Lepisosteus oculatus: one gene and its partners. The protein of the gene in region 3 interacts with the protein of the main gene of each other region in a biochemical or structural test. Links are inferred from orthologs where the notes say so. Each region holds a gene or a part of one and is shown on either strand. Other genes may lie near its edges.

Region 1 (6,821 bases), on a different chromosome or scaffold from region 3:
TATGCAAAAAGTAATGGCAATATTTTGAACTTATCTATGTACTGTATCATTGTCACTGCTAATTTGACAGGACTGATACTTACCATATAAAGCCCACGACTGAGAGGCTTAAGTAAAGTCCTGTATGCTCTGTTAACCAGGGCAGACTGACTTTCAGAGTATTCCTGCTCCTGCTGTAAGAGACATCACAAAATAACTTCCAGGAAGTAATCAATAAAGACCCTGCATGCTATTTATTACAGCACATGTTCCAGAAATCTCACAGGGCAATCATAAGACTTTATTTTCCCCAAAAGTAATTTTTTTCCCTTTCCGTCAGTGTTCAATGTAGCATACTTAACATGATCTGATGATGTGATATAATAAATTATTTGTGAAAGGAAAGTTACTAGTTCTGACAGGCAGAATGTGCTTGAACGTACCAAAGGTTAAAAAGCACTTGATAACTCTTTATATGAAATGCCTCTCATTTTCATTAAAAAAATAATGTAGAAAAAACAGAAGGTCCACATATATCTGGGACTAAACAGCTTCAGTCTTGAGGCCAAGCATGAAAAACGTATTCACAAACCTGAAAGGTGCTGACAAGGTCAGCCCAGAAGATTACTTTATGCTCAAGAGTAAAATAAGTACAAAAGGGCACAACTACAAGCTGCTCATGAAAAAGTATATTTATGGCTGAAAACAGGAGAGGCTTTTTACACAAATTTTTGTGGAGGTTTGGTACCAAGCCATGTTGTTGAAGCTAATACTGGAGATCAATAAACTATTTAGACAAAGGTACCATAGCAAGCTACTATTTTCCTGGACCAAATTTTCAAAACCTTCACAATAAGTATACAAAGTATTACAGAAGCAGCTGTAAACCGCTTTATGCTGATCCGTGGTAAAAGCTACAACACAGCTGGTCATTTATCAATTACATCATAAATAATAACATGAAATTAGGTGCAAAAAAAGTTATGATTACCTAAGCAGTGCTTCAAAGTGCCTTGAGCGTTAAAAAAAAAAAAGGTCTATTATATTCAAACAAATTAACACAACATTGGGGACCAGATCTGTACATGTGTATTGCCTACTGTTTAGATGCAACTCAGTCCAGTTATGAAACAACTACATTAACGTCAATGTGGGATTATGCAGTACTTTTGTAAACCTACAGCCAAACCTTGGCATTCAGATCTGCTTGCCATTTTATGAATGCATCTGAATAGGCTAATTTTACACTTACCAGGTCCTGAGTGTAAGAAAATTTGATTTTTTAAAGGTCTTGTCATGCTTGGAATAGTTGAATGTCTTGAATCCAACAACAGAAGCTGGTGTGTATGAAACATGTAAAAGGAAATAACTGAAAAACCATCTCATGTTTGGAAGACAAGTTGAAGGTAAAAGGGCTCAGCAACAGAGGGGCATACCAGGCTTATGCAGCCAATGGGAATCAATGAGAATTAAAAGTGGCCGATTTCTATGTTACAGCCATACATCATGCTACACAAAACACCAACAGTCAGTCAAGCCCCTCATTTAAAACTGATCTGTAGACTGGATCATCTCCAGAGTCAGTCTGCTCCTAGGACCTCAATATCCAAAAGCATTAATTAGTCAGTGCCGCTCCATATGGTTAAATATGGTTAACAATCAGCAGCAGGCAGATTTTCCTGGGGGCTTGAAATAGCATTACAAGCCAAATTTTCACTTTTTCCTGATAATTCTTTAAAAGTGGTGCAGAGTAACAGAAAGTGCTTTGGGAGAAAGTTTAATACCCTACCATGCTAATCCCCAGCACTGATGGTCCTTGTCTTTAATATGCACCATATTGTATCAAATAGACTCTTCTGCAAGCCAAACACATTTCACATCATATCACTTAAGTTAAATGGAATCAGACAAGCCATTTATTTTTAAAGCAAAGTCTTTATTTTTAGACATGAATAGTCTCCATATCCAACACTACTGCATTGCAATGTGAAATTCCAAAATCCTCAGACCAGACTACAAAGTACTCAGATACACTCAGTCTATTTGCAGGAGTTAAGTGTTACTCCTGCCATTTCTGCCATGTAATTCCACTGCTATTCGAGACTGACTTTTTTGTAGTTTGAACATTGCATGAGTATGCCTACACGATTATTTTTTTAAATGTCTGGAGACATTAGAGTTGGCAGGTGCACGCACGCTATGGAGGCTGGTGAACCTTCACTTACAGACTATACCAGAAATGCAAAATTATATTTGATTGACAAAAAAAAACACCAGTCCATAGTTCACTGGGTTTTGATTCTATTCATTGGACTTGTACAGATGCTGAACAGAAACAAGCTGTGGACAGTGGAAGTACAAGTCTACACAGTGACACAACAACGTTTTGCCCGTTTAAGAACTAATTGCAGAAATCGTGCCATACACCTGGAAGCATTGCTTACCTGCGTTTTCTGGCTGAAATTATCAGGGTGAAGAGAACGCTGAAGATGCATGTACCTTTTCTGTAACTTCCGAACATCCAAAGCAAAGGATATTTCACTAAAACAGTGCATAAAGGTTTATTAACACCAGGTGCACTAACACCAACATCTGATGATAGTCGAGCAATAAATGCTGCAGATGTAAAAAGTCAACTAGCATGTACAGGATTCTTAATGGAACAAGTATTATTAGTTTATTCCATGCTGAAAAGAGAAGAAAGACAACACAACGTTTCGGCCACGGAGCCTCACACGTGAAGAAGGCTCCACAGCCAAAACGTTGTGTTGTCTCTCTTCTCTTTTCAGCATGGAATAAACCTATTACTTGTTCCTTTGCAGCCTGCGCATGCTGACGCAGTTACCCACCTGAACTAGGATTCTTAATAGCAATATTTATAAGACCTCTCTAAGAATTAAAACGTTTTAAGAAATGCAAAGCTGTTTTATGCAGTTAACGTTTAATAAATATATGGCAACCCATTAAGGTTACAAAACCATGTGTAACTTTAGCATATCAGAGGGATCTCGCTGAAAACAATTTCAGTCAGCCAACGCAGACACCTGAGATCGAAACTGCTCAAGTGGACAAACTACTTAGAGTGCCAGACAGACCAGATTCCTTCTCACCAGTCCATGATGTCGAAGAAGTTGATGTTTTCATCAAGTGGCTGGATGACAAGGCAAGCCGGGCAGAAGAACGCAGGAGGCGTCTGCAGTCGTGCCTCGCATTTCCAACAGTGTAGTTTTTTCAAAACCGTGCAAAAAGTCCTGGAAATCATACCGCATCGACGTTTCAAGAGCGAAGTGGCTGGGAACTGATTTGATTTGAAGTGCTCCAAAAAATGCAATGTTTTTGAACAGACTCCAGAAGAACGGCGGCTGCCCGAGCCATTCAAGGTGAACACCGTTACGAAAGCTTCACAGCCAGACGTGGAAGGTAGATGTTTTAAGACAGACTGATCATTTCCAACATAGAGCCCTAGGCCACAAACTCTACGGAGTGAGCTGGCAAATCGTAACCTGTTTAATATCAGCATTGTTTTTCCTTTAAGTCAATATCCATGCATGCCGGTACTGCCTTCACCTCTCGTAAGAGGAGGAGGTGGGTAGGGAAGACAACAGGAAGCATCAGAATTATTTCCGGTTGGATATATAAAACATAAAATTGTTTAAAAGTAAATATGCAGTATTAATACTATGGTATTTACATGCATTAGTTTAAATTTGTGGGTTCGTTTAATATTATGGAAGTCAGCGAACCTCAAGTTTAAGTCACATATTTCCCAAATTAGGTCTCAAGGCAGAGGCTGAACTACATTTCCCAGTCTGCCCCAGAGTTTCCCCGATTGGTTGGCTTCTGTAATTGGTTGATTTTGTAAAACGTTTCGGCGTTGTTGAATGTACTACCTGTGATTGAGGAATAATCGGGGAATTTTGGGCATGTGAGTAGCTGATTTTGTTGAACTCAGGTATGACCTAACTCGTATGAATCATGCAAAATGAAAACAGCATGCTTCTGTATTTTCTTTAAGTTTACGCTACTGTATTAGTTTTATTGACCGGGAGTCATGGGCGCAGTTTTTTTACTTTTTCTTTTAATGTGTACGTCATCTGAGCTCATTGCATAGATTTAGCTACAGTTTCTGATTTCTTTAGTCGTGTTAAGAAATGTGTCTCATATCTTAGACGTGTTTCCTTAATTATTTCGGCCTATGTTACCATGTGGCACCGGGAAGAAGGCGGCTCTCTTGTTATTGTTATTGCGGACGGGTGCAAGTTTGCTTCCTTGTAATGCAAGGACTACAGACTATGGGATGCCAGGCACTTTGCCAGAAATATTTTTTTTAAAAATAATGACCCCCACCAAAACGAATGACAACTTTTAATGAAAACACTTTATTTAGTTTTTACCTCGGGCAATTCAAGATTTTGTGGATGAAAGGACTATATACTGTAGATGTACAATAACATTTTGTTACAAGCCACTCTTGATCTTTGCATTACCGTGCGCGGCCACAACCACTCTTTTGCTGCGGAGAATTTGCAGATATGTGCTAAATGGGTGCGGGACATCAGAGAGCGGCCGCCAGAGACCGGGAAGTTGTGCAGAACTGCACCGATTTGTAGGAATCTGCACTAGCATTGTGCCGAATGCTTTGAAGAAGGCACCTCGGATATAGCGTTTTATGTTTTTTAATACTGTGATTTTTTTTATGTTTAGTGTTTAAGTGCAGCGTTAATTTGAATTGGAAGTTACATTCATGACAAGATAATTTATTAAAAGTTCAAAAACAAGAAAAATCCACTGTCTCTCAGGGATTTTATCATAAACGTGCGAAAGTACCCTGTCCAAGGTAGGTGATTTTCTTACCATTTTAAATTCAACCATTATTGATGTGCTTGATTATCCAACCCCATTTGCTCATGTTCACGAAAGCATATGCAGTTTTGCCCGTGGTTGTCAAAGTGTTTGGCCTTACCTGGGTACACGTGTTGTGTTTGCATCTATAAACATAAAAACATACCAGTTCTTCTGAGCCAGGAAGCAGAATCATGATTTTGTTTCCACATGAGAAGTAGCATCAGAGGTTAACAACAGGAAGCAGCTTTGTGCTGAAGGAAAAACAAGGGTGTGCAGAGGAAAGCTAGACCACTAACTACTGTTCTGGTGCCTCTGTTGTGCTTGATGCTTTCAGTAAAGGTAACCAGGGAGCTTAACCATGTCTGAGGAGCCTGGCCCCAGTGACACCCAGCCTCAGTCCCAGTCTCAATCCCAGTCCCAGTCTCAATCCCAGTCCCAGTCCCAGAGCAGCTCCAGTTCTTCGTCGGCGCCTCAGTCTTCCAGCCAGTCGTCCTCGTCTTCGGGCTCAGGCACGCTGAGCTCCGTCGACACCATCCCCGTGCGGGACCTCTCGTCCATTCCTGAGGAGGCCGAAGACCCGGAGGAGCCCCCCCCACAGCCCTGGGGCCGCCTGCTGCCCATGGAGAAGGGCTTCGCAATGCACAGTGAGGGCTCGCTCTCTCCTGCCTGTCTGGACTAGGTCCCAAAGGACAGTTCTGTGCCATTTAGCCATCGCTGGCTTTCGGAAGCTTGTAGAAAGAAGTTATATCTCCTGATTATGAATCTGAAAGTGAATGCGCCACTTTACCTAAATAGTTCATTTCTTCAGTGTTCTCGAACATTTTATTAAGTGGTGTGTTCAGGTGAAAGTTTGTACTGATATTGTAAAATGGCCACTTTGAAGTATAAAGAAAGATTTACTAATTATTTCTTTGTGTTGTGTGTTGTGATCTTAAGCAGTTGCGAACATTAATTGTTTAATGTTAAACGTGGCAAACCTGGCCTTTTTCTTTCAGACTGCATAAAGGATGAATACTGGTTTGGGAGAGACAGACGATGTGACTACAGTTTTAATAATGCCTTAATCAGAAAGTCAGAAAAGTACGCAAGTTACAGTAAGAAGCACTTCAGGATATTCAGGGTAGGAGGTACTTCTGTTATCGTCCTTGGTCAACTGTTCCGGTATCCACTCGGAACAATTCCTTTTGAAGATTTAATGCTTTTGTTATCCCAATATGTCTCTTTATGAGACAATTATGAAATAATTCATGAAATAGTTGTCTGATGCTGTGATTAATTGGGTCACAGTTTTGTAGGAAACTGACACATTTTTAACACCTCCTTCCCCTCCCTTCCCCACTCCAACTTTTCTCTGTGCAGGAAAGCGGAATTCCGTATATTGAAGACCACAGTGGGAATGGGACCTATCTTGACGGACAGTATATGGGACAGGGCAAAAAGTTACCACTGGCAAATAATGCTGAACTGGCGCTTTCTGTCCCCCAGAACAAAGGTAGAATTTTTCTGTGTAATTTTTGTTACTAAGTTTGTTTGTTTTTTGGTGGGGTGTTTGAAAAGGAGTTTTTAAGACATCTACACATCAGTGTGTGAACTAACTTGCATTAAATTGTACTGCCCATGTAGCTCAGGATTCCTTCTTCTGACGTATTTAACCCATTCTAGAGACTGTTGCTTTATAATCTATGTCATTTCTAAAGTTCTCATATCCATGCATAGCTTTTTGTAGGAATCCCAAAGGTATCCTGTAATGTTTAATTAAATATATTTTGTATAAGGGAAGCTGGTGATATGTTACATTAGTCTTACTCTTTTTCTTACTTCCCAGTACCTAAAATGAAATATTTTACTTTTTTCTCTATAGTTTTTGTGTTTATTGACCTCACCGTTGATGAACAGTCAAACCTCCCAAAGGAATTCAAGGACAAATACTTGATATCAAGAAAAATTGGATCGTAAGTGGAGCAGTCGTTAAGTGTGTTGCCTCGCTAAAGGGGGTG
Region 2 (7,026 bases), on a different chromosome or scaffold from region 3:
AAATTTGAAAAATTCTTAGCCTATCATCATTACATTTGCGCAGAGTAACAGCTGGAATATGCAGGGAAAGGGTGAACTATGTGCCTATTATTCAAAAAAAACATAAAATAAAATAAAATCAAACTTGTTTGATGTATTTTTTTTTTCGGATAGTGTCTGAAAGGAAACCAGTGTTGATTTTGCAGTTTGTAGAACTGGGGCCAAACTGTGTGTTTTCCACTCATGAGATTGGTATAGTTCATCCCTATCCAGGGTTTGAGTGCTGTGTGTTAGGCCTAGTCCCAGCTGCAAGATACGCAGTATCCTTTAGCAACTGAACTCCACTGTACCACAAAGGCACCCTCAGTGGAAAACTGAGCTTTCTCGGGTGTTCTGTAGGGTTGTCTCTATCACATCTCTATGTACAATACTATGGCTGTAGCTATGCTCCAACTCAGAACTATGTATAAGATATATCTCAAACAATCAAAGTTTATTTATCAAATGCACAACAATACATCGTGCAGCAGTAATTGCTGGCAATGAAATGTCTTTTGTGCGAGCTCACCAGGTGGAGATAAAAACAAAAATCACAAAATTAAAAGGTACAGAATAAAGTTACATAAGTTATAGATTTTAAAAATGCATAATATAGATAACCAATAATAAATTAAAAGGGGGTTTAATAATGAATAGTGCATCTTTACGTTTAAGAGCCATTATTCAAATAATGTTTTCTACATTAATTTACAGTATTGTGTAATGTTGGTTTCAAACTTGTCTTCAAACTTATGCAACTGCTCCTCATTTTTTAAATTAGAAACAGAAACCGTCTATGAACCAGTAAGTTACCTTGTCAAAATGCTTAGAATGAAACACATAATACATTTTAAAAGAATTGTAATGTTCCTGCTAGAAGTACAATATTTTCTTTTTATAACATTCATACCCGTTAGGTTCTTGCAGCATGTTCACTGTACTGTAACCAATGTCCACCAGAGGGCTCCCCAGACTATTGTATGGCTGTGAGAACACTACTGCTTCACAAGAGTAGAGGGTATGAGAACTACAGTAATTCTCCGAGCACCACAGAACTCAACAACTTATATTTCTAATATGAATGCGCATTGTTCTCAAGAGTCTCCCGAGTGAAGTTTGTGGATCCCATAAGTAAAAATGAGATTCAATAGATTAGTCAATTCAATAACATTTTAAAATTAAGGAATACTGACCAGATCAATCAAAGACAAGACAGAAATGTTGATAATTGTCTTCTAAATTAAAATCTCATCCATTATTTCAGCTGTGTTGGAAATAATAAAGCAGATGACAGGTTTCATTATTTTTTTCTGTATTTTCTTCTTCCAAAGATCTAGATAGGATATATCCATTGATCTTTTTCTATTTCACTGGGTTTAGGCTGGTACCTAATTTTGCCAACATCTATCCTGCAGTGTTCCTGCAAAACGTCTACTGAACCTTTCATTACTACCCCCGACAGTCTTCTGAAAACCACACAAGATGTGTTATGAATCGCAATTGTGAAAATGTGTTGCTTGAATACTGTTACAGACAGAAAGTACAAAATATCTGAACTGATGTACTTTTGCTCTTGTATTTCTGTGCAGTATTTTATTGCATTTATAGTCTGATTAAAATTACTTCCACCTGAGGACCACTTGTTTCTTCATTACACCATTTTAAACTTGTTCAACTTTGTACTCTGTCCCTGTGCCTTGTTTGTTTACCAGACGTAACTGTGCAGTGCTGTAATCCTTGTTTGTTGAAAATATATTGATTTAAAATGTATTAATGATTTCATTGAAACAATATTCCATGGTCCTACACTCTGACATTGGGTATCTATCTGGAGTGTGGTATTTCTCTGGATGCCCTGGTTTCTTCTAGCCAGGTCTAGTTGTCTATTCTAAATTTTCCCTTTCCCCATGGCACTGGGTTGAATTTGAGGGCAGTCATGTGCTCCCAGTTTTGCCTTGCAGGCTGTCCTTCCTAAGACGGGCTCCAGCTCAACACTTTCCTCAAAAAATTAACTGGAACAGCAGTGTGGAGCAGCAGTCAGGGTTCTGGACTTGTAACTAGAAGGTTGAGGTTCAAATCTTAGGTGAGAGAAATGCTGCTTTTGTATCATTGAGCATTGTACTTCTACCACTGAAGCACTTTCACAGATATTAAGCACCAGCAGCCTGAATACACAGCAGATCAAGGGCTCCCGTTGCATTAAGGGGAACTTTAGGTAGGCCAGATTGTATAAACCCAGAGTAGAATTTAGCCAGGACAGAGTCTAGAGTTAACTATAATAATAATAATAATAATTTTAGTCTTCCAATACCATGGGATCTTAAATGACCAAGCAGTCTGGACCCCAGTTTAACATTTCATCCCAAGGACAGCACTTCCTATAAAACAGAGTCCCGTGTCTGTTGGAGTACTGGTTTGGAGATTGTGGTCCAGAGGGGAAAACACCATGTTTCGTTTTGATTAGCTCATGCCAGAGATATGGAAACAATTCTGCCAGTCCTATTCTTGATACTGGAAGCCTAGATACTGACTGGAAGGTACTGACTTTTCTAATTAACTGAGAAAACATTTAAAACCATTGTCTGACTCAAGGTGGCATCCAGCAGTATTTTAATTTTCTCTTCATGCTGTCGGTGGTCTGTATACATAAGAGTGTTAAAGGGAAAGACATTGTAAGTACATTTTCACTGCCACTTAACGTGAATTGTATTGTTCCTCTTTCAAAGTGTTGCATGCAATACAATAAAAAAAAGATTTCTAGATGATAGGTGGGTTTCTAAAGAAAATTTAGAAGTATGCCTAAATACTACAAAACATGAAAACCATGTTTATGAAAGTGCGCTTTAAATTGTTATTTTTTAACTTTCCAAAATCTGCCCCTTTGCCGCACTCTCATTGACATTATAAAAGTACAAGTATTTCGGTTTATTAATATATCCGTGTGTGAAGACAGGGGGCAGTGAATCTCTAAGGAAAATTGATGAACAGTTCTGCAGACTAACATAACGCAATTATACGTTGACAGCGGATTAAAAATGAAAAGATTAGCTGGGTATTCTTACCATTGATTATTTTTATTGAGTTTATCTTTGACATTGATTTAGGGTCATCCATTGCAATCGCTTTGACTAATCCTAATTTAAAGACAGTGTGCTTTTCACATGATTAGTCTTGAACGCAGTCGGAAGCCATTCTTTTGTGAACAATAGCATTTGATGCCAAAGATCTGAATGCCCTCGTTAGTGGATATGTCAGGGCTTTCTTTACTCAGCGTGATGAATCGCCAGTCCGTCTCTGGCACTCAAATGGTCTCTCAAAGATGGTAAATCTATTGATTTTGCTCTGCATCTTTGACTCTATTTTGAGCCGGTTACCCTGTAACATGTAACAGGTCCTAAAGGCGGGGTAAGTTATACTATCTTTGGTTAACAAGTAGTGGACATTCAATAAACTGTGAATTCTGTACACAATTTAGCCTAGCGCTAAGGACATGTGCACAAATCATTCATGCTACATGAGTACCAAAGTAGCTAACTGTTTTAATATTGATGATGATGATCATGATGATGATGATGATGATGATGATGATGATGATGATGATGATGATGATGATTAAATTATCCCGTGGATCCAAAGGGTTTTCTTTGGCTTCCCAAATAATCCTAGAATCTCCAAGTATATAGTGTTTCAGTGGTATTTTATTCAGAAGTATCTCATTTTTATTTAGGATCTAAGTGACTTGAAGCTATTTTTAAAAAATTAAAAGTTTACTATGAATATCCCACATACAAATATATAACTATATATTACTATGTATCAAAGGGTTTTCGTGGATTACCTGTTAACACTGATCTACTCAGGCATCTTGAAAGTACGGTTAGGACTAAACAACTTCGAATAGGCTTTGCGTCTTTAAAATGTAACTCCGCCTCGCTGCCCGCCCATTGATACAACGTGACAAAGACCTTGAATAAATGGTTCAGGGATTCCCTGTTAGGGCATGTACTGCTGAGGCTGGAGGAGAGGAAAGAGGAGGCTGTTACCATTTAACAGAGGAAATATATTGGCGGTGTGTTTGGGGCGTTAATGAATGGAATCAACGTGCTTCTCCAGCTCTCAGCGCCTCGCTTGCCAGATCATGAATCCGGACTTATTTAAAGCTAGTCCTGAACGGGCTGCTGCTCACCCGGCGAAACCGAACCGAGGCAAATTGGAACAGTCCCGATCGGAACTGGCTCATGTCGTGAACGATTCCAAGACGGGGAGATGTTACTGCAAAGGAAAACTGCTGGGAAAGGTATATACTGCAATCACGTCGAGGCGCTGCTGTTGTCATGTGGCACCGCTGTCGATGAATACTCATTTTTTCTGAGGGATTTGTGAAATTTGCGGGAGACTATTTCATTGAACAGTTTGTTTTGAAGGGGTTGGAGGTCTACCAATTGATAGTTTTTTTTTTTTGAGCGAAAATATTTTTAAAATGTTTATTGAGCCACGTTAGCGCTCTGTCGGTTTTAATGGTATGGTATTGAAGGCTTTTTTTCTTTCCTTCCCTCTCCTCTTAAATATTATAATGGTTTTTAAGTGGCTGGCTAAACATAAGCTTTTTATTTTTCCATTGACTGCCTGTGAGAGATTGCGGGTTAGACTGCTTTTGCTGATGCACAGCTTGTGACTGCATAAGCGCTCTTTCCTTTCAGTTTGTCTCTAGCTGTGTGACTCATTGGGTTTTACGTCTCTGAATGTGAAAGATTTGGGTTTATTGATTAGAAGTCGGTGCTGGCTGGGAAGAATTGTTGTTCACGCAGTTGTGCATGAGGTTAAGCTTTTGCGTTAGGGGTACTTAGTTAAAATTAATCTCGTTCTTCTGGAGACTTTTTAATCTTCATGGGTATTGTTTCCATGTATACGAATGTGACTTTCCTCCAAATAAATCCTTTAAAAGTATTTTAACGTTTCGAGTCCAGATGGAGAGATCAAATTTATGCCACGTTGAATAGGGTAATGGTCGCTGGCTTCCCTGTTTTTGATTAGAGCCTTTCTAGTACTATCGCCCTGAGGCGTTTGATGCAGTGTCATTAACCAGCATGGGGGGTGCATAACACCTGATTACAACATTCCTTAAATATGTAGAAATGGGAGGAAGAAAGATCTTTGTGCCTCATCTTTGTCACGTTTTTGATTTTGTGTTCCCTCATAAATATTACATTTACACTAGAAGAGGAAAGTCCATAGCTTACTGTCCGTATGCCAGGGGTGAAGAGGGTTTTTTCCCCTATTGTCCTGGAAGTGGTGCATACAATGTAGAAGCGCCCTTGGCTGTTAATAGACCTCAACCATCCACATTTAAGATGTGAGGCTGTGTTTAAAAGAGGGTCGTCCGGCGTGGATTTAAAATTCGGAATTTCTGAAGAGACGGACCTGTGACATATGAATGGTGACAACGAATTCTGTGCTTCTTTCCTTTTGTATGTGGGACTCGGCAGGAGTAGATTGTTTACTTTGGTGCGCTTTTATTGATTACATCCTAAATGTATTTCTAGGGCGGATTTGCACGCTGCTATGAAATGACGGATATTGCCAACAACAAGGTGTATGCTGTGAAAGTAATACCCCAAAGCAGAGTGGCAAAACCGCACCAGAGAGAAAAGGTACCGTATTTTGAGTATTGTTTTTTGGAGAATGAACTAGTCGTCTACATTTTTTTTCTAATGCTGTTCTTTATTCATTTACTTATAATAGCAATACACCCTTTAATGTATTTACAATTTCTGTACAGAAGAGGTTGGGTTAAAGGCTGGTCTGTTATGGAACTGGTGAGGGAGTTCTACCTTTTGCTGTAACTCGTCTTTTTAATCGCCTTCCAGATAACGAATGAGATTGAGCTGCACAAAACGCTTCATCACAAACACATAGTGAAGTTCTCTCATCATTTTGAAGACCAAGAAAACATCTACATATTCCTAGAGCTTTGCAGTAGAAAGGTAAGCTGTTGGCTTTGGCTCTCCGGTGATTCAGAATGCCGGTAGTGAGTAATCATTCAAACTGACGGGCGTTTTCCATTTCCTTTGCAGTCTCTGGCGCACATATGGAAGGCACGGCACACATTGACAGATCCCGAAGTGAGATACTACCTCAAGCAGATTATATCAGGACTGAAATACCTCCACAACAAAGGGATTCTTCACAGAGACCTCAAACTAGGTGTGCACAATGAAGCACTGCTTTTATTGCGAGATGTTCACAGCTTTGGAATGCTCTGGGGAACTGTTGTCATGAGACCTAGTTCTCAACACAAAAATGTCCTCTGGGTAGATACTTTTTTTTTTAAAGAGGAAAAAGGAAATATTTTTTTTTAGCCTACAGTTGCTTGTGTTTAAATAGCAAATTCAGAATGGCTTCTTAAATCTTTGCCCAGAAAGGGCAAAGTATCTTTTGATACAGAACCCTCTCAAAGTACATGAAATTAATTGAGGTTTGTACTTTTAGGTAACTTTTTCGTCAATGAGAACATGGAGTTGAAACTGGGAGATTTCGGATTGGCAGCCAAGCTTGAACCAGTGGAACAGAGGAAAAAGTAGGCTTGATTTGTTTTTTTTACTCAGTTCCAAATTTCTGCTGATCAGTATTTTTTTTCATGTTCTTCTAGTCTTCTCTGCACTGCATTAATGCCAACTTATTTACTGTTCCAGAACTATTTGTGGTACCCCAAACTATTTGGCTCCTGAAGTCCTGAACAGGCAAGGGCATGGACCAGAATCTGATGTTTGGTCACTGGGTTGTGTCATGTGAGTGGAATCAAATGCCTTTTCCATATGTCGTATGTCAAATGCCAACAATATGATAATCATGTGAAAATAAATAATGACAATGTTTGTTGCCAGAAAACACAAAACATCATGATGTCATTTTAGCGTGACCTTTGTATTTGTCGCAATGAGGGAAACGTGCCAGCAGTGTGATAGGAAAATAAGAGTGGTTAATGAGAGCTGAAGAACCATTTTTAGA
Region 3 (7,102 bases):
TCTATAATTATAATGAGAAAATTATACTTTTGTGTTTACGTTCGTCTTAAGTTACCTAGGTCTGATGAAACAATGCAGTTGTGCTGTGTAGTCTGCGCTTCAATTTGCATTTTCCCCAAGATTGAGAACCTCAGAACACTCTCCTGGACAACCAGAGAAACACAAGGCCGCACTCACATTCTCCTTGTTGTTGAAACAGGGACTGCTGGGGCCCCGCGCGCCGGGGCTGAGACCGCCTGAGCCGACCTTAGGGCTGCTGCACAGCAACCTGGGCTGAGAAACAGAAACACAGAGAGCAGTGAACAGGAGTGACACACGTTCATCCAGGTGGCACGATTAGCAGATGACAGTTAGATAGCCAGCAGACTTATCACCCCGCAGCTCACACTAGCAGCCCGCTGAAGCCCAGCAGGTGTGGAGGGGAGACCTCCTGGGAAAGCTAAGGTTGCTGCTGGAAAGGTGTGAGAGGGGCCAGCAGGGGGCACTCACCCACTGGACTATGTGGGTCCTAACACCCCAGTATAGTGACAGGGACATACTGCAAAAAATGCACTGTCCTTCAGACGAGAGGTAAAACCAAGGTCTTGACTCTCTGTGGTCATTAAAAACCCCAAGTCGTTTCTGAAAAAGAGTAGGGGTGTTACCCCGGCATCCTGGCCAAATTCCCCCCTGGCCTTTACCCATGATGGCCTCCTGATAATCCCCATCTCTGAGCTGGCTTCATCACTCTGTTCTCCTCCCCACTGAGAGCTGGTGTGTGGTGAGCACACTGGAGCATCATCCAGGTGGGGCTGCACACTGGTGGTGGTGCAGGGGATCCCCCTTACCTGTAGAGCACTCTGAGTGCAGTATCCAGGAAAGCGCTATATAAGTGTATGGAATTATTAAGCATTATAATTCTTAGTGAAATAGCACAGCCCAGGACCCAGATCTCGGGGACAAGGTGACTCAGGGAGCCGACTGCAGGAACCCGAACCCCTGGCCTAGAGAGGGGGCTGATCTCTTACCAGCATGGACTTCAAGCGCTTCATATGGCCCTTCCTGGAAGAGAGAGAGAACAGCAGGCATGAGGCCGAGCAGACGACCGGTCATCCACAGACCCGCTTGGCCACCCGACCCGTCGGGCCAAGCACGCGGCCAGCCGGGCAACCACAGCGACGGCCCGGCAGGGAACCGAACGCCTCGTTAACGACCCCGTTCGGAGCGAAGAGTCGCCGGCAGAGGCCGGGCTGAGAAGGATACTCGTGACGGAGCGAGACTCGGGCGCTGCCTTCCAGAGCCTCAGCAGGGCTGTCAGTGAGACTCCTGATCCACTCCCGGCTTCACAGTTTACTACAGTCACGGACACTACTTAAGGAACAGGAGAAGGACATCAGCCATACTGTCTAGGGCCCAGTGTGGGCCATGCGGCATGTTACTGACCATCAGTGCTCTCTCTGTCGAACCTGTCATTTCAGCTTTTACTTGATCTGTAATGTCCGCCCATCCCATCTCACCCCCTCCTCCCCACTGCCGCCCCCTCCCCTCTGCCCCCACACACTCACTTGTTTTTCTCCGAGTCGGGGGTCACTTTCTGGGGGAAACTGGGAAGACAGAAGAAAGCAAAACTGGATTAAAAAGTTACAATCACGTACAGATAGACCCGGCTGTGGACAGCGGGGCCAGAGAGAGAGAGACCCAGATGTGGACAGCGGGGCCAGAGAGAGAGAGACCCAGATGTGGACAGCGGGGCCAGAGAGAGAGAGACCCAGATGTGGACAGCGGGGCCAGAGAGAGAGAGACCCAGATGTGGACAGCGGGGCCAGAGAGAGAGAGACCCAGATGTGGACAGCGGGGCCAGAGAGAGAGAGACCCAGATGTGGACAGCGGGGCCAGAGAGAGAGAGACCCAGATGTGGACAGCGGGGCCAGAGAGAGAGAGACCCAGATGTGGACAGCGGGGCCAGAGAGAGAGAGACCCAGATGTGGACAGCGGGGCCAGAGAGAGAGAGCCAGATGTGGACAGCGGGGCCAGAGAGAGACTCGGCGGCGGTCAGCAGACACTGGAAGGAGTTACCTCGGGGCCGGAGAGTCTGGGGGACCGCGGGGGGAAAGCAGCTGGTCTGGGGAGACACAAACGCAGACAGACATGAGGACGGAGACAGGAGGCGCCGGGGAGACAGCCGGCTCGGCTCGGGTGGACAGGACGGACTGACCGCTGTGCGCCGGGATCGGGGCGTCGCCGTCGCTGAGGCCCGACAGGTCCAGACACCGCCGGGGGGTGTCTCTGAAAGACACGGGCGAGGAGGTTATTGCCCGGGGCGCGGGGCACGGGGGACGGGGGAGGCCGGACCTGCACTCACCCGCTCTGGAAGGCGTTCAGGCTGCCGAGGCTGTGCGTGAGCTCGGATACCGGGGACAGCAGGCGCTCCGGGGAGCCGGCCTCCCCCTCTCTCGCCAGGCTGAGCAGCATCCGGCAGCCGGCGCGGAAGGACAGGCCCTCGCTCATCCTGACTCGGCGGCGCCCTGCGCTGCGGCCGGGGCTCGGGTCCCTCTCCTGCGCGTGTTTCCCCGAGACCGCTTTCCTGCTGCGTTGCTCGCGGCGCAGGCGATTCTCGAACCGTCGGCAGCCGGAACCGGGCGTCTCGCGCCTGCCTGCGACCCTCGCCCGCTCCCTCTCACGCCGACTGCGAAAGAATAAGGACACACGGCGCCCTGCGCTCGGATTGCGTCTCTCGGTTGGAATAAAACTCCAGGCGAACGCTAATACAGAGCAGAAAGTGGTGCTGTAGTTACAACACATAGGTCTTCAGTGCTGCCCCTTTCCTCTTGATAGCAAAAAAAACCCGGTGCATTTCAGACATCGTGCTAACAAATGAACGAAATTATGTTTAAATGCATCTTAATACTTGATGGAAAATTTATATTTTCTTATCTACTAATCTTAAGCTTGCGATTCCGTAACAATCCCTCCTTTCCTGTAAAACCCTCCATTACATTCCCCCAAACTCCCCAACACAGGATTTTAAATTTCACGCGCTGCGATCCGCCAATCACGGATCACGCTCCGCAGCACGACGTCCGCGAAACGTGAGTCAAAGCACGCTCACGACAGCGTTTCCGGACGCTGCAGGTCTACTGGTCCATTCTGCTGTCCATCAAAGCGTGCCCCGAGGAAGGAGGGGCTGGAGAGCTACGGCGCTGAAGGCTATTGGCCGGAAAGCTCAACCACGCTGGAGAAGTATCATACGGCCCGTGATGTTTGTTCGTGGTTTTTGTGTTATGTAGTTAAAACACGCGGAATATCTGTACGTTTAACGACATAAAGAGTCAGTTTAAAGAGAGCTCCTTCAAGAAAAATGCTGCCTAAATGTAATTCGTGTTTTGCAGACTCCCACGCGTTGTTATCTGTAGGAATAACAATGAATCAGAGACAGATCCACGGGTGGTTTCCAACCAAAGGGTGATTTTTATTGAATTAACTCGATAAGTGGGTTCAAACTTTTAACAGCAGGTCAGGACAAAATGCAAGGGTATCACCCACAGCGGTCCTGAAAACTGCAGCGTGAACTGCAGTGAACCTGTTGCGTGATTTTAGCCAAGAGAGGAGGTGTGTGCAGAGTAGGACTGGACGAGGAGGAACCGTCATCAGCACAACAAAGAATGGATTCCTTTTCTGCGACACTGTCTTTTCCAACATCTTCGGGGGGGGGCTTACAGTTGAGTCTGTTTCCCCCCCAAGTTGCAGAAAGTCTTAAGATAAAAATGCGACCCAATTATAATTGGGGGTGGGGAAAAAACAACCTAAATGGAATGAGAAAAAAATATATCTTAAAAACCTTTGTTTTCACTAGAATGTTGTTGAGCTGTGATGTGTCTCCCAGCTCTGCCGCCCTGTTGACCATCGGGGTACGGGGGGGTAGGGGAGGGACTGTCTCCCTCCCCTGGGGGGCAGTGTTGAGCAGCACAGCACCTGCAGCAGTGATGTCACACGCCCCGTCTGGGGATCCCCCACCCCAGCAACACCATGAGCTCTGACTGCAGGAGCTCCAGGGGCACCTCAGCCTGGGCTACTGGCCTTGCAACAGCCTCATTGAAGTGGGCCTGGTCTCTCGGACCCGGATCAGGGTCGATTTGGGTCAGTAAGGTGGTGCTGAAATGTAGATTAATGAAACAAATTGCTTCACAACAAACTGTACTTAAGATCAATGGTTGTGTGTGTTCAATACCTTTGCTCAGATTTATAGCTACAGCGTGGACCGTCTGAAAATGTGAGAGTCATGTACATCATGCATCACAGATCACCTGATACTCAGGAAACTGCATGATGAGCTCCTAAGACTAGCTAACACCCACTGCAGTCACACGTTTAGAGATGTCTTTCAATGGAACTGACTGACAGGATTGTCTTTTTGTGATCAATATATTTATATTTCTGAGTCTGGAATTTTATTTTTTTTACTTGTACATCAACACTGTGAATTGTTTTTCTTCTAATAAAAGCAGCCTTGTTTGGCCCTGTGGGGGGGGTGTAATGAGGATAGTCCAGAGCACCTACTACATCAGGAAATCCCACTGGAAAAAAAAGCTTTGATCAGAGTACATAGCTACAGGGAACAGAAGCTACATGGCCAGTGCTCAATATTGACATGCTATATGTACGAGCAGTACAAACAGTGCATGGGCTTAAGGTAGTCAGTGTAGAGTATACTCTGTCTGCAGATAAGACATCTTTCAAATAAAAATGATCAGCAATCTGTAAATGGCGATCTCAAAACTTTAATTCTCTCCGAAAACTCTAACGTCAGCTGGAGCCTGATGAAAAGTGACGGCATTTTTTTTTTGCGTGAGTCTGCTCTATGAGCCGAGCTCTTAACCACAAAGCCAGATTAAATTTGATTTAAACTGCCCCGGAGAAGGTTAACTAATAGAAGATATGTTGATATACTTATAAACCCCGATATAAACCAACTGTGCTTCCGTGAAAGCCAAAAACCGGACTTTGTCAACACGTTTACTAAACTCACCCGGCTAAATGAAACATTCCTTACATCTTATTTAATTTCTGATACAGTTCAGTGACATATCTCCTCTTGCTTCGTATAAATATGCTAATTATAAAACACTATTAAAGAAACTCTTCATTTTCCTAGCGGCTCTTGTTAATAAAACAACCCGCACAAATTCGAGCTCAGACTCTCAGTTTTTATTGGTTGGACTGAGTGTCGCCAAAGCGGAAGTCCAGCCCTGCTTCCTGTGTCCACCCGCGCGGAGCCCCGCCCCCGGTCACCTGGCGGGTATTTAAGCCCCCAGGCGGCGGCAGATCAGTTTGGCTGTTACTATAGCCCCGAACAGCATGACCAGCAGCTTTCACCCCGCTTCGCCAAGCCCGCCGGACCACAGGTCTGGAGCGCTTGCGTGTGCACGCGTTTCTTGCGCCGAGTGACGAGTTGATTCCCGATCCGGTTTCTGGAGGCGCGGGCGGGCGGGCCGGCGCGCGGACGAGCTGCGGTCTGTCCCGGGGCGTGTTCTCGGGACAGCGCGCGCCCGCTCCGTCTGCGTCACGGCCCGCGAGCCCTCCCCCCGGAAGTGCCCGGGGGAGAGGTGGCGTTGTCTCCGCCCGTTCCGCCGGTCCCTGTGTCGGCAAGGCACTGCCGTCTAACTGTCTCCCCTGCGCTTCCTCCTGCAGGCTGTGGCCGGTACCGGCCTGGCCCGGTGCCCTAGACCTGGACCTGGCCTGTTGGGACCCGCTGCCCCAGACCTGCATGCCAGAGCCCTGGCTGCTCCCGGGCTGCAGCTCCGTGTACAACAGGCTGGTGAGGTGAGGGGCGCTGACCCACTCCTGGGCACTTCTCTGCACAGACTCGGGCTCAGGAGGAAGATCTAACTCCAAAAGCTTATTAGAGGCCAAAAGCTAAATAAGCTTGTAAGAATCCAGGGTATCAGCTTGTTCCACACTCCCACCACCCTCTGTGTAAAGTGCCTCCACTTCTCAGTGCTACATGCTCTTCCCTGTAGCTTCCACTGGTGTTCTCTGGTTTGCTTCTCTGGTTCTGAAGTCCCCCTGGTTGACTGTCGGAGTCTTTCAGGATTTGGGGGTGCTTGATTCAGGTCTGCGGTCTTCTGTTTAAGACTACGGAATCTGTCGCTGGACCCAGTCGCTGCAGGACAGGCCTCCGAGCCTGTGAAAGGAAGTCGTTACTCGTCTCCGGAGCATCTTGTCTTCGAGAGTGTGGCGCTGAAATAACCTGGTGACCAGAACCGTCCTCAGCTCTCATTGAGGTCTTGCTGGAGTGTGACGCAGTTTCGACAGGGTTCGACTTGGTTTAGATCCTGCGCTGTTGACCCTGCGTCCTCTCTCTGCTGGCCTGTTTCCTCGCTTCCTCAGTGTCCGGCAGATGACCCCAGTGACCACGATGTGTCAACCCTACATCTCTCCCGGTCTCACAAGCAGCCTCTCCCAGCTCGGAGTGTTTTTCTCCGAGGCAGCTGCGGACAGGCGCTTGGGGTGTCCTCGAGTGTCTGTGTGGCTCTGCCTAGCCCTCTGCCTGCTGTGTGAGAAAAGGGGGGGCGTGGGGCACTACTGAGGTCCCTCATTCTCTGTTGCTCCCTGTAGCAGCTCCTCGGAGGCGGCGCAGCCCCAGTGCAGGATGACCGGAGAGTCTGACCAGGGGGGCGTCCCCCACAAACCTCACAGGTATGCCGTCTCGCCAGCAGGGGGCGCCCGTGCCGGTCTGGACTTGGGGCTACCCCTGTCCTGAGGCGTGGCGTTGGCAGTCGGGGGTGCGATCGGGGCGGAGGATGTGTAGGTTCGTGCGGGGTGCGAGGCGGGGGAAACGAGGCGCCCTGCAGAGAGGGGGCGCTCCCAGCTGAACACAGCGCCCCCTGGAGTCCCTGGAGTTGAAGTGACCTGTTAGCACCTGAGCAGTGGGGTCTTCTCAGTCTGAGAGCAGCGCAGCTGTTGGGGTGCCCTGGTGTGTGTGGTGTGTGTGTGTGTGTGTGTGTGTGTGTGTCAGGCCAGGAGCTGAGCAGAGCCCCCCAGCGGGATGTCCCGCCCGGGTCACAACCTGCTGTCTCCGTCCCCGCAGAGCGTCCATTCTGGAGCGCTGTATCCTGAGGCTGTC
Region 4 (7,974 bases), on a different chromosome or scaffold from region 3:
GGCAGGTCTCGCTGGGCTGGTCCCACGGGAGCTCTGCGGCGGCACAGCGACGGGGCGCGTCAGACTGAGAGGGCAGCACTGCAGTGCCACCGGGGGAGACGAGCCTCCGCCGTCCCACTGACCCCCCGGGACACACACACACCGGACCCCCCCTGGGACACACATAGTCACCCCTGACACACACTGACCCCCCCTGGACACACACACCGGACCCCCCCTGGGACACACATAGTCACCCCTGACACACACTGACCCCCCCGGGACACACATAGTCACCCCTGACACACACTGACCCCTGACTCCACTGTCCCACTGACCCCCCCAGGACACACACACTGGACCCCCAGGACACACACACACACACACACTGGACCCCCCCCGGGACACACACACACTGGACCCCCCGACTCCACTGTCCCCCTGACGGCAGCACCTGACACAGGCCCGCGCTCTCACCCCCGGCCAGCATGGCGGTCAGGACGATGCCGCAGGCCCAGACGTCCCCGGGCTGCGCGTGGAAGTCCGCCCGCGAGAGCAGCTCGGGAGCCACGTAGGGCAGCGTCCCGCACAGCCGGGACAGAAGCCGCTCCCGCCCGCGGTGCCGGAACATGGTGGCCAGGCCGAGGTCGGAGATCTTCAGCTGGTCTGGGGCCAAGAGGACGGAGGAAACCATCTCAGTGTCACCAAAACGCCCCGCGTCCACTCACAGCCTTCAAATCAGGCTGTACACTGCCCAGCAGGAGCCACACCAGAGGCTGGACGCCTCTCGGGGACAGGCCGGGGACAGGGGGGGATTAGGGGGTCGGTACACTGTCAGGACCCAGCCCAGCTCTCACCTCTGTCGTCCAGCAGCAGGTTCTCCGGCTTGATGTCCCGGTGAGTGATTCCTATTCCATGGAGGTACTCCTGTGGAGCGCACACACACACACACACACAGTTATCCCAGCGCACTGGAGTCCACGAGCCACAGTGACGCCTCCCTCTCCGCCCCGCGGCCCCCGAGACGCACCTCCCTCTTCAACCTGCGGCCCCCGAGACACTCAAGCACGGCCCCCATCGCTGCAAGGACTGCTGGGATCGCTGTGATCGCTCAGCACGCCTCTCACGCTGGCTCGGCACACAAGAGCCGCTGACCCCCCCACCCAAACGAAGGCAAAAGGAAGAAGGGGGACCCCCGGACCAGACAGCCCAGCCGGGGACACCCCACCAGCGCGGCGCTGAAGGACAGACTCACCACGCCGGCAACCAGCTGCTGGAAGAACCTGTGCGCATCTCTCTCCGGCATCCCCACGTCCGGCTCTGAGGGAGGGAGGGAGAGGAGGGTGAGGAGAGTGAGGAGGGAGAGGAGAGTGAGGAGAGTGAGGAGGGAGAGGAGAGTGAGGAGAGTGAGGAGAGTGAGGAGAGTGAGGAGAGTGAGGAGGGAGAGGAGGGAGAGGAGGGTGAGGAGGGTGAGGAGCAGGAGGGGCGCCTCACCGATGCGGTCGAAGAGCTCGCCGCCGCTGCAGTACTCCAGGAAGATGTAGTGCGTGTCCCCCTCACGCCGGTGGCCGTAGAAGCGCACGATGTTGCGGTGGCTGAGCATCTTGTGGATGCAGATCTCCTTCTTGACGTTGTCCGCACAGTCGGCCGCCCGCGAGGTGTCCACCACCTTCACCGCCACCGCCTCCTCCGTCTGCCTGTTCACCAGCAGACGCACCCTGGCGGCCAGAGAGCACACGGGTGACCAGTCGCCCCGCTGAGCCCGAGACGAGCCCCCCTCCCCCCGCCAGCTGCTCCTGCAGCCCAGGCCAGTCGGAGATCAGGAGAAGCACGCACAACACACACTGGACAGCACACACTGGACAGCACTGCCTCCGGCACGCACGCACAACACACACTGGACAGCACACACTGGACAGCACTGCCTCCGGCACGCACGCACAACACACACTGGACAGCACTGCCTCCGGCACGCACGCACAACACACACTGGACAGCACAGCCTCCGGCACGCACGCACAACACACACTGGACAGCACAGCCTCCGGCACGCACGCACAACACACACTGGACAGCACTGCCTCCGGCACGCACGCACAACACACACTGGACAGCACTGCCTCCGGCACGCACACACAACACACACTGGACAGCACTGCCTCCCGCACGCACACACAACACACACTGGACAACAGTGCTTCACCCAGCCACAGAAACTGGGCACAGGCAGACCCGACCATGCAGAGAACACAGGCTCACTGACCACAGGCTGGACACAGGCAGACCTGGCTGTACAGAGAACACAGGCTCACTGACCACAGGCTGGACACAGAAACATTTCAAATCCCAATGTGGGCTGAAAACAAGTCCCCCAGTCCTGCAGTGTCAGTGAGTCCGCAGGTCCGACAGCCTGCAGGACCATCGATGGACACCGGCCTGAGGCGTTCACAGTTACTGCTGGCACATCAGGCCCCCGGCGAGCCAGGGCGCGGTACTTACTCTCCATAAGCCCCCTCTCCCAGCGTCTGCACCACGTCCCAGTCCTGCACGAAGGGCACGGCCATGTCCAGGGCTCAGGGACACACACACCTGCTCGCCCGGCCAGACGAGAGCAGAGACAGTCAGAGCACCTACAGGCGCCAGCGGTATCACACACAGCTGCACCCCTGACACACCGGCCACTGCGGCTCCGGCAAGACAGCACCCTCACCAGAACCGACACCCGCCCCGGGCTCCGGTCCTCTCGGAACCAGAACCGACACAGGGACACCTGGAACACGCTGAAGAGCCCGTCCGGGCCGCGGCGCACAGCAGGGAGCTTTTAGAAACGCCTTTGACTCGGATCGAAAAGGCGCTGCGCTTCGCACCCAACTTCTCGACAGACTGCAGCAGTCCGCATCACGGCAGACCAAGGCGATCGTTGCCCGTATTTCGGATTTTTTTAAAATCAGTTTACCCCTCCGAAATAACTGCACGGCCGCGCTTTGGCGCGCTCCGGTCTCAAATCTCCTCCACGCTCCTTCCGCTCTGGGCTCACGCACTTCCTGTTGACGTCGGCAGCAGGGGAGATGGGCGACATGCGAATGACGTCAGCGGGACGACTCTAATCCGCCATCTTGCTGTTGGGTGACAGCGCAGCGTTTTCAAAAGCGAATGAAATAGCGCTTTGTTCACTAGTACACGTTTCCGAGATGTGTTTTTTCGGGGTCGTGACGTCAATCAGCCCCCCTATAATGTCGTAGGGAAACCGGGCCGGTCTCATTCGTTAGTGCTGCGTTTGTGCTGCTTCCATTCCCGAGATATAGCGCCTTGTTTTTCCTGTGATCAAGTGACCATGCACGGTGCCTTTGACCTCCAGTGACCCCGTCTGCGGACCATGGCAATATTGGAAACATGTTTTTTATTTTCACATAACAGAAGCGAACTTATATCTGCATTTTTTAATAAACTCATTAGCCGTGTGTTTGTATTTACAGGAGTCTTATGCGCAAATATGAAGCGATGAGCTCACAGTCCTTGTATCTTCGTGTTTCCGGCCAGTCTTGGTGTAGAATACAGCGTGAGGGCACACCTGCCCCCTGAAGACACAGGTGTGGGCGCCTGTGTTAGATCCTCAGGTGAAGTCGAGTCTTATGCAGTCTGCGATGTACTGACCCAGACATGTTTGCTTGTCCTGCTCCATGAAGGTTCCCACCCGCCCGTCGAACAGCACAAACGACGGTTTGTGTTGCTGTAATTAGCGTTTGTGCTGCTTTCGTTTCCGAGATATAGCGCCTTGATTTCGGGTAATCACGTGACCATCTACAAGGAAGTTTACAGGTACCAACAAACTCGGTGCTTGAACTCCTGATTGTGATGAAAACAATGGGGGCAATGGGGGCCAGGCAGGCAGGACTGTTTGACGGCTCTCTGAACGATGGCGCCGGCCGCAGCAGTGTCCCCGACCCTCTCTGGGGGATCTGTTGGGAAGTCCTCTCCAGCCACGGCCTGCCTCCGCTCACAGAGGACTCCCAGCTGAGGACTGGCAGGAACAGGACCGCAGCGGGTCCCGTCGGTTCCCACATGGCAAGCACCATGTCAGCCTGTAGACTTACTACATCGCGTCTGCGGGGAACTGAACACAAAGCTGAAATGCCTGTATCCCAGGCAACGAACCACCAGCAAGCAGCAGGAAGCTGAAGGCTGAAGGATGGTGCTGCACAGCAGGACAGCTGCTGTAGGGTCACCCGCTGTGCCCCAGGGCAGAGAACAGGCCAGACACCAGGGTTCAGTTAAAAAAGCCTTCTCTCTTTAATCATCCCCTCCCCCGATCACAACAGGACGACTATTACCAGAGCCACAATGGAATTCACTGTACACAAGTCCCGGGTTTGTCCCATAATAATACAACTTCTTTTTTTACATTATACAAGTCCCTTCAGGTTAGGAGGTCTTCAAGAAGAAAAAAAAAACAAACAAAATCATGTTATCCTCTTTTTGCGGCCTGCAGGGCGTCCCGTCTCCGAGATGAGAATCCATCGCTAGGCAACGGCGCCCAGCGCGACCACAGAGCCGAACGAGCCGCGCCGCGGGAAGACCACCATGGAGAAGAGGGTCGCTCCGTCTGCAAGCGAGAGCCCCCCGGTGGTCGCCGGCCGCAGGCGGGGCTCCGGGCAGCTCAAGGGCGCTCGCTCTCTGCGCCCCAGAGGCTCGGACAGGACACGCGCTCCTCCTCTCCATACCCTGCACGGGGAGCCCCTCAGAAACAGGGCAAAACGCACCCCCTCTGCTCCTGGGGGTGTCTGCAGGCGAGAGGCATCTCGGGGCGCAGGAGGAGGGAGGGGGGAGTCTACCGCAGCGACATCTTCACTCCGGCTCTCCGCAGCCCTCGGACACAGAAAACGTCCAACCTTGACCTTCTAAGAAAATAAAAGCTCTAATATATTACACCGAACCTCCAACAGAAAAAGCCGCACGGATGCGTTTTATCCCTGGAACCCAGCGTCCCGTTCTTCCTGCCCTGCGCCCTGGGTCAGGGCTTGGCGATGTGGACCTCGCTGGCGCCGCTGCCGTTGGTGGTGGTGGTGATGATGTACTGCGCCGCGGGCTGCTGGGCGGCGGCCTGCTGCTGCGGCTCCAGCTGGTCGGGGTGCACGGGGGCGCTGCTCTGGGGAACGGCCGCCTGCTTGGGGTCCAGCTCCGCCTGCCCCTCCGAAATCACGTAGTGCGTCTGCAGGAAGAGGGGTGGGGGGGTCAGACAGCCGTCTCAAGCAAAAGCCTGAGCCGCACAGTCCAGACACCTGGCGCCTGTGACCGGGACTCCCAGCGCCCTGCTGCCGGCGCCCCGGACCGAGGCCTGCTGCCGTACCCTGCTGTCGCCGAGAGCTGCACACACTGCAGAGGGAGTGCCTGCGATACAGGCGTCAGCGAGGAGCGGGAGGCGAGGCCCACAGCAGGAAGCTCAGGGCTGAAGGATGTTGCTGCACAGCAGGACAGCCCGTTTAGGGGTCACTCGCTGTGCCCCAGGCCAGACAGAAGGCTTTTTTTAACCAAGCCCCGGTTCTTTAGTCATCCCCTCCCCTGGAGATGGGGACAGGATGACAGGGCTCCTCCACTGGGTGCCAACCCTCCTTCAGGCGCTGCGGGGCTCTCCGCAGGCCAGCGTGTCGGAGAAGGGCAAGGAGGAGGCCTCCGATTTTAACAGCCGTCTCGGGGGGACACAACCCAAATACCTGACAAACCCTCCGGAGCCACCGACTTGTAAGAAACCTGCTGCACGTTCGAGTGACATCGCTGTGACAGGGACACCTTCCACAGAAGACCACCCCCCCCCCGACTCGCTCGGATGTCAACAGGCCGAAACCTCCTGACCTGGGACATGGTTTTGACCTGACCGCTGTTCACCGCGCTCACTGGGGCCCCGGTCTCGGCGATCACGTACTGGGCGTGGGGGAGAGTCATCATCTGGATCTCCGAGGCTGGACAGAAGAACGAGAGAGGAATGTAAAAAGCCTGGAACAGGGCTTTGAATGACACCGACCTTCTCTTCACCCCCTCGACCAACAGCACAATGTGTATCGAGTACGGTCAGCACCGGTCAAAGATGACAAGATGTACATCAGCACTGGGGAAAACCAACAGGGCGGCCCAAGATCTTTTCCGGTTTCTCAGTCCAGTTACATTCTTCAAATTACAGGGAAGGTTTGGGAGCGACACCGAGCCCGAGGACAATCCTGTTGGCTCGTCTTCACTGCGAGAAGATCTCTAGCTGGGGTACAGAGGGACTCATGCTAGAAAGTGTGCTTCAGCAGGTGGGGAGGACATCCCCAGCTACAAGTCACGATCTCGAAGATGCCATACAGCTTTCGAAAAAGACACAGACTGCCACTACACTTAGGAAACAGAGGCAGGGTATTTCAGCACTTTTTCATAAAACGGAGCCAGCTGTCCATTCTGGAACACAGAGATATTTTCTAATCCCAGGGGCCGATCAGTGAAAAAGGGCTCATTCGGGTCGTGAAAACTATGACCAGCGTGTTGCTCTCCCCATTCTCTCTCTACACGGTATTCCGGACTCTGGAGCACTGCCGCACACAAACACGGAGTGCATGGTATGAGCACATGACATGCGTGTGCTTATAGCAGGGTCTCCAGTCCTGGTCCTGCAGGGTTTCTGGGTCCCGACAGCAGCGGAGGGGATGGGAGTGATCACCCACAGGCAAATACCGGCAACCACACCCACCCTCCAGGGCCAGGGCTGGGGGCCTCTGTATGAAACACGAATATGTCCAGCCCAGTCACTCACAGTAGCCCCTGTAGTTCCAGTTGCTGGGCAGGTAGGCGTGCTGCACTGCCCCCTGCTGCTGAGACGAGGGTGTCTGCAGGGTGTGGCTCTGCGCCAGGGTTACCGGGGTGACGGTCTGTAACTGGGAGGGGCTCAGCTCCTGCGTCGCCTGCTGGGAGGAGGGGCTAAGTGGCTGCCCAGCTACCTGGGAATAAAAGGGAGAAGAGTCTTTAGACGAGCTGGCCAATCCTGAAGAGAACAGGACCTGGCTCCCTTGAACACCCTTAACCACAGCTTTTCTAATCATGCACACAAACATCTTTACATTTCTTTGTATCAAGGGTTTCTTGTCCCAATTTCTGCCCCAGTTGACACGGTACTCATCTGATAAAAGAGCAGCACAAACTGAAGATGCTTTAAAGCCATAAGTGAATCTTCAGCAAAGAAACTTCGATGACAACGGTTCCCAGCACATGACCTGCCCTGCTCTGGCTTCAGATTACAAAACGCTGCTCTCTCCACTTGCTGCGAGGCCACACTGGTCTCTCCCGGCTGGGTTCACTGCCGACGTTCGGCACCCAAGCCCCGGCACTCCCAGACCACACGAGCTGCATCGCGGACGAACGACATCGGAAAGACCAGCCAACCTCCCGCCCTGAAAAGACACAGAAGGGGCACACCCACGAGGCACCCCTCTCGCAAGAGGACCCGAATCCCAGCGGGAAGGTGCGAGTTTCCCCCTGGCCCCGCCCGGGCCGGTTACCTGCGCGGAGCCCTGCGCGGAGCCGGCCGGCTCGGCCAGCTGGATGTGCTGCACCTGGATGGAGTGCTGCGTGTAGCCGTGGGGCTCGTGCAGCTGGCTGACGTCCACCGTGGAATGCTGGGAGGTGTGCGGAGAGGACGCCTGGGGGGGGGAAGACAGGGTGCAAACCTTCAGAGGAAAACTACCAACAGGCTGCGCGGCATGTTAACTCCTTATACATCTATAGCGCTTCTCTGGACCTCCACTCAAAGCCCTTTACAGGTCATGGGGATCCCCTCCACCCCCACCAGTGTGCAGCCCCAGCTGGATGATGCTCCAGCCCTCTCCCAGCTCTCAGTGGGGAGGAGAGCAGAGCGATGAGGCCAGTTCAGAGACAGGGCTTATTAGGAGGCCATGATGGGTAAAGGCCAGGAGGAGATTTGACCAGGACACTGGGGTAACACCCCTACTCTTCTCGAGAAACACCCCG

Evidence for each region.
Region 1: of the proteins of M-phase inducer phosphatase 1-B (region 3) and chek2, one has a biochemical effect on the other in vitro, tested with the Homo sapiens proteins (14 studies listed by BioGRID). The link is inferred for Lepisosteus oculatus from reciprocal best matches to the Homo sapiens genes CDC25C and CHEK2.
Region 2: of the proteins of M-phase inducer phosphatase 1-B (region 3) and plk3, one has a biochemical effect on the other in vitro, tested with the Homo sapiens proteins (2 studies listed by BioGRID, with this or other methods). The link is inferred for Lepisosteus oculatus from reciprocal best matches to the Homo sapiens genes CDC25C and PLK3.
Region 4: of the proteins of M-phase inducer phosphatase 1-B (region 3) and chek1, one has a biochemical effect on the other in vitro, tested with the Homo sapiens proteins (16 studies listed by BioGRID and IntAct, with this or other methods). The link is inferred for Lepisosteus oculatus from reciprocal best matches to the Homo sapiens genes CDC25C and CHEK1.

What each region holds. Positions count from the first base shown.
Region 1 is NC_090717.1:5,419,939-5,426,759, forward strand, and holds the start of chek2 (serine/threonine-protein kinase Chk2), read left to right. Parts: upstream 1-3,805; 5' UTR 3,806-3,904; exon of another isoform or gene 3,905-3,931; intron 3,932-3,939; exon of another isoform or gene 3,940-4,816; intron 4,817-4,830; exon of another isoform or gene 4,831-5,158; 5' UTR 5,159-5,182; coding exon 5,183-5,468; intron 5,469-5,819; coding exon 5,820-5,944; intron 5,945-6,183; coding exon 6,184-6,316; intron 6,317-6,685; coding exon 6,686-6,776; intron 6,777-6,821. Other genes in the region: iron-sulfur cluster co-chaperone protein HscB, read right to left, coding at 84-173, 2,424-2,520, 3,090-3,499. UniProt on the Homo sapiens protein: Serine/threonine-protein kinase which is required for checkpoint-mediated cell cycle arrest, activation of DNA repair and apoptosis in response to the presence of DNA double-strand breaks.
Region 2 is NC_090704.1:6,013,647-6,020,672, reverse strand, and holds the start of plk3 (serine/threonine-protein kinase PLK3), read left to right. Parts: upstream 1-4,014; 5' UTR 4,015-4,108; coding exon 4,109-4,315; intron 4,316-5,561; coding exon 5,562-5,669; intron 5,670-5,885; coding exon 5,886-6,002; intron 6,003-6,092; coding exon 6,093-6,222; intron 6,223-6,507; coding exon 6,508-6,595; intron 6,596-6,710; coding exon 6,711-6,806; intron 6,807-7,026. UniProt on the Homo sapiens protein: Serine/threonine-protein kinase involved in cell cycle regulation, response to stress and Golgi disassembly. Polo-like kinases act by binding and phosphorylating proteins that are already phosphorylated on a specific motif recognized by the POLO box domains.
Region 3 is NC_090706.1:29,488,791-29,495,892, reverse strand, and holds the start of M-phase inducer phosphatase 1-B, read right to left. Parts: upstream 3,008-7,102; 5' UTR 2,782-3,007; coding exon 2,342-2,781; intron 2,266-2,341; coding exon 2,195-2,265; intron 2,102-2,194; coding exon 2,056-2,101; intron 1,584-2,055; coding exon 1,545-1,583; intron 1,042-1,544; coding exon 1,008-1,041; intron 274-1,007; coding exon 178-273; intron 1-177. Other genes in the region: slbp2 (stem-loop binding protein 2), read left to right, coding at 5,335-5,381, 5,668-5,799, 6,595-6,675, 7,067-7,102. UniProt on the Homo sapiens protein: Functions as a dosage-dependent inducer in mitotic control. Tyrosine protein phosphatase required for progression of the cell cycle. When phosphorylated, highly effective in activating G2 cells into prophase.
Region 4 is NC_090718.1:15,711,248-15,719,221, reverse strand, and holds the start of chek1 (serine/threonine-protein kinase Chk1), read right to left. Parts: upstream 3,003-7,974; 5' UTR 2,936-3,002; exon of another isoform or gene 2,569-2,935; 5' UTR 2,544-2,568; coding exon 2,479-2,543; intron 1,698-2,478; coding exon 1,474-1,697; intron 1,300-1,473; coding exon 1,235-1,299; intron 907-1,234; coding exon 837-906; intron 646-836; coding exon 457-645; intron 34-456; coding exon 1-33. Other genes in the region: prdm10 (PR domain zinc finger protein 10), read right to left, coding at 4,991-5,188, 5,830-5,936, 6,764-6,947, 7,506-7,646. UniProt on the Homo sapiens protein: Serine/threonine-protein kinase which is required for checkpoint-mediated cell cycle arrest and activation of DNA repair in response to the presence of DNA damage or unreplicated DNA.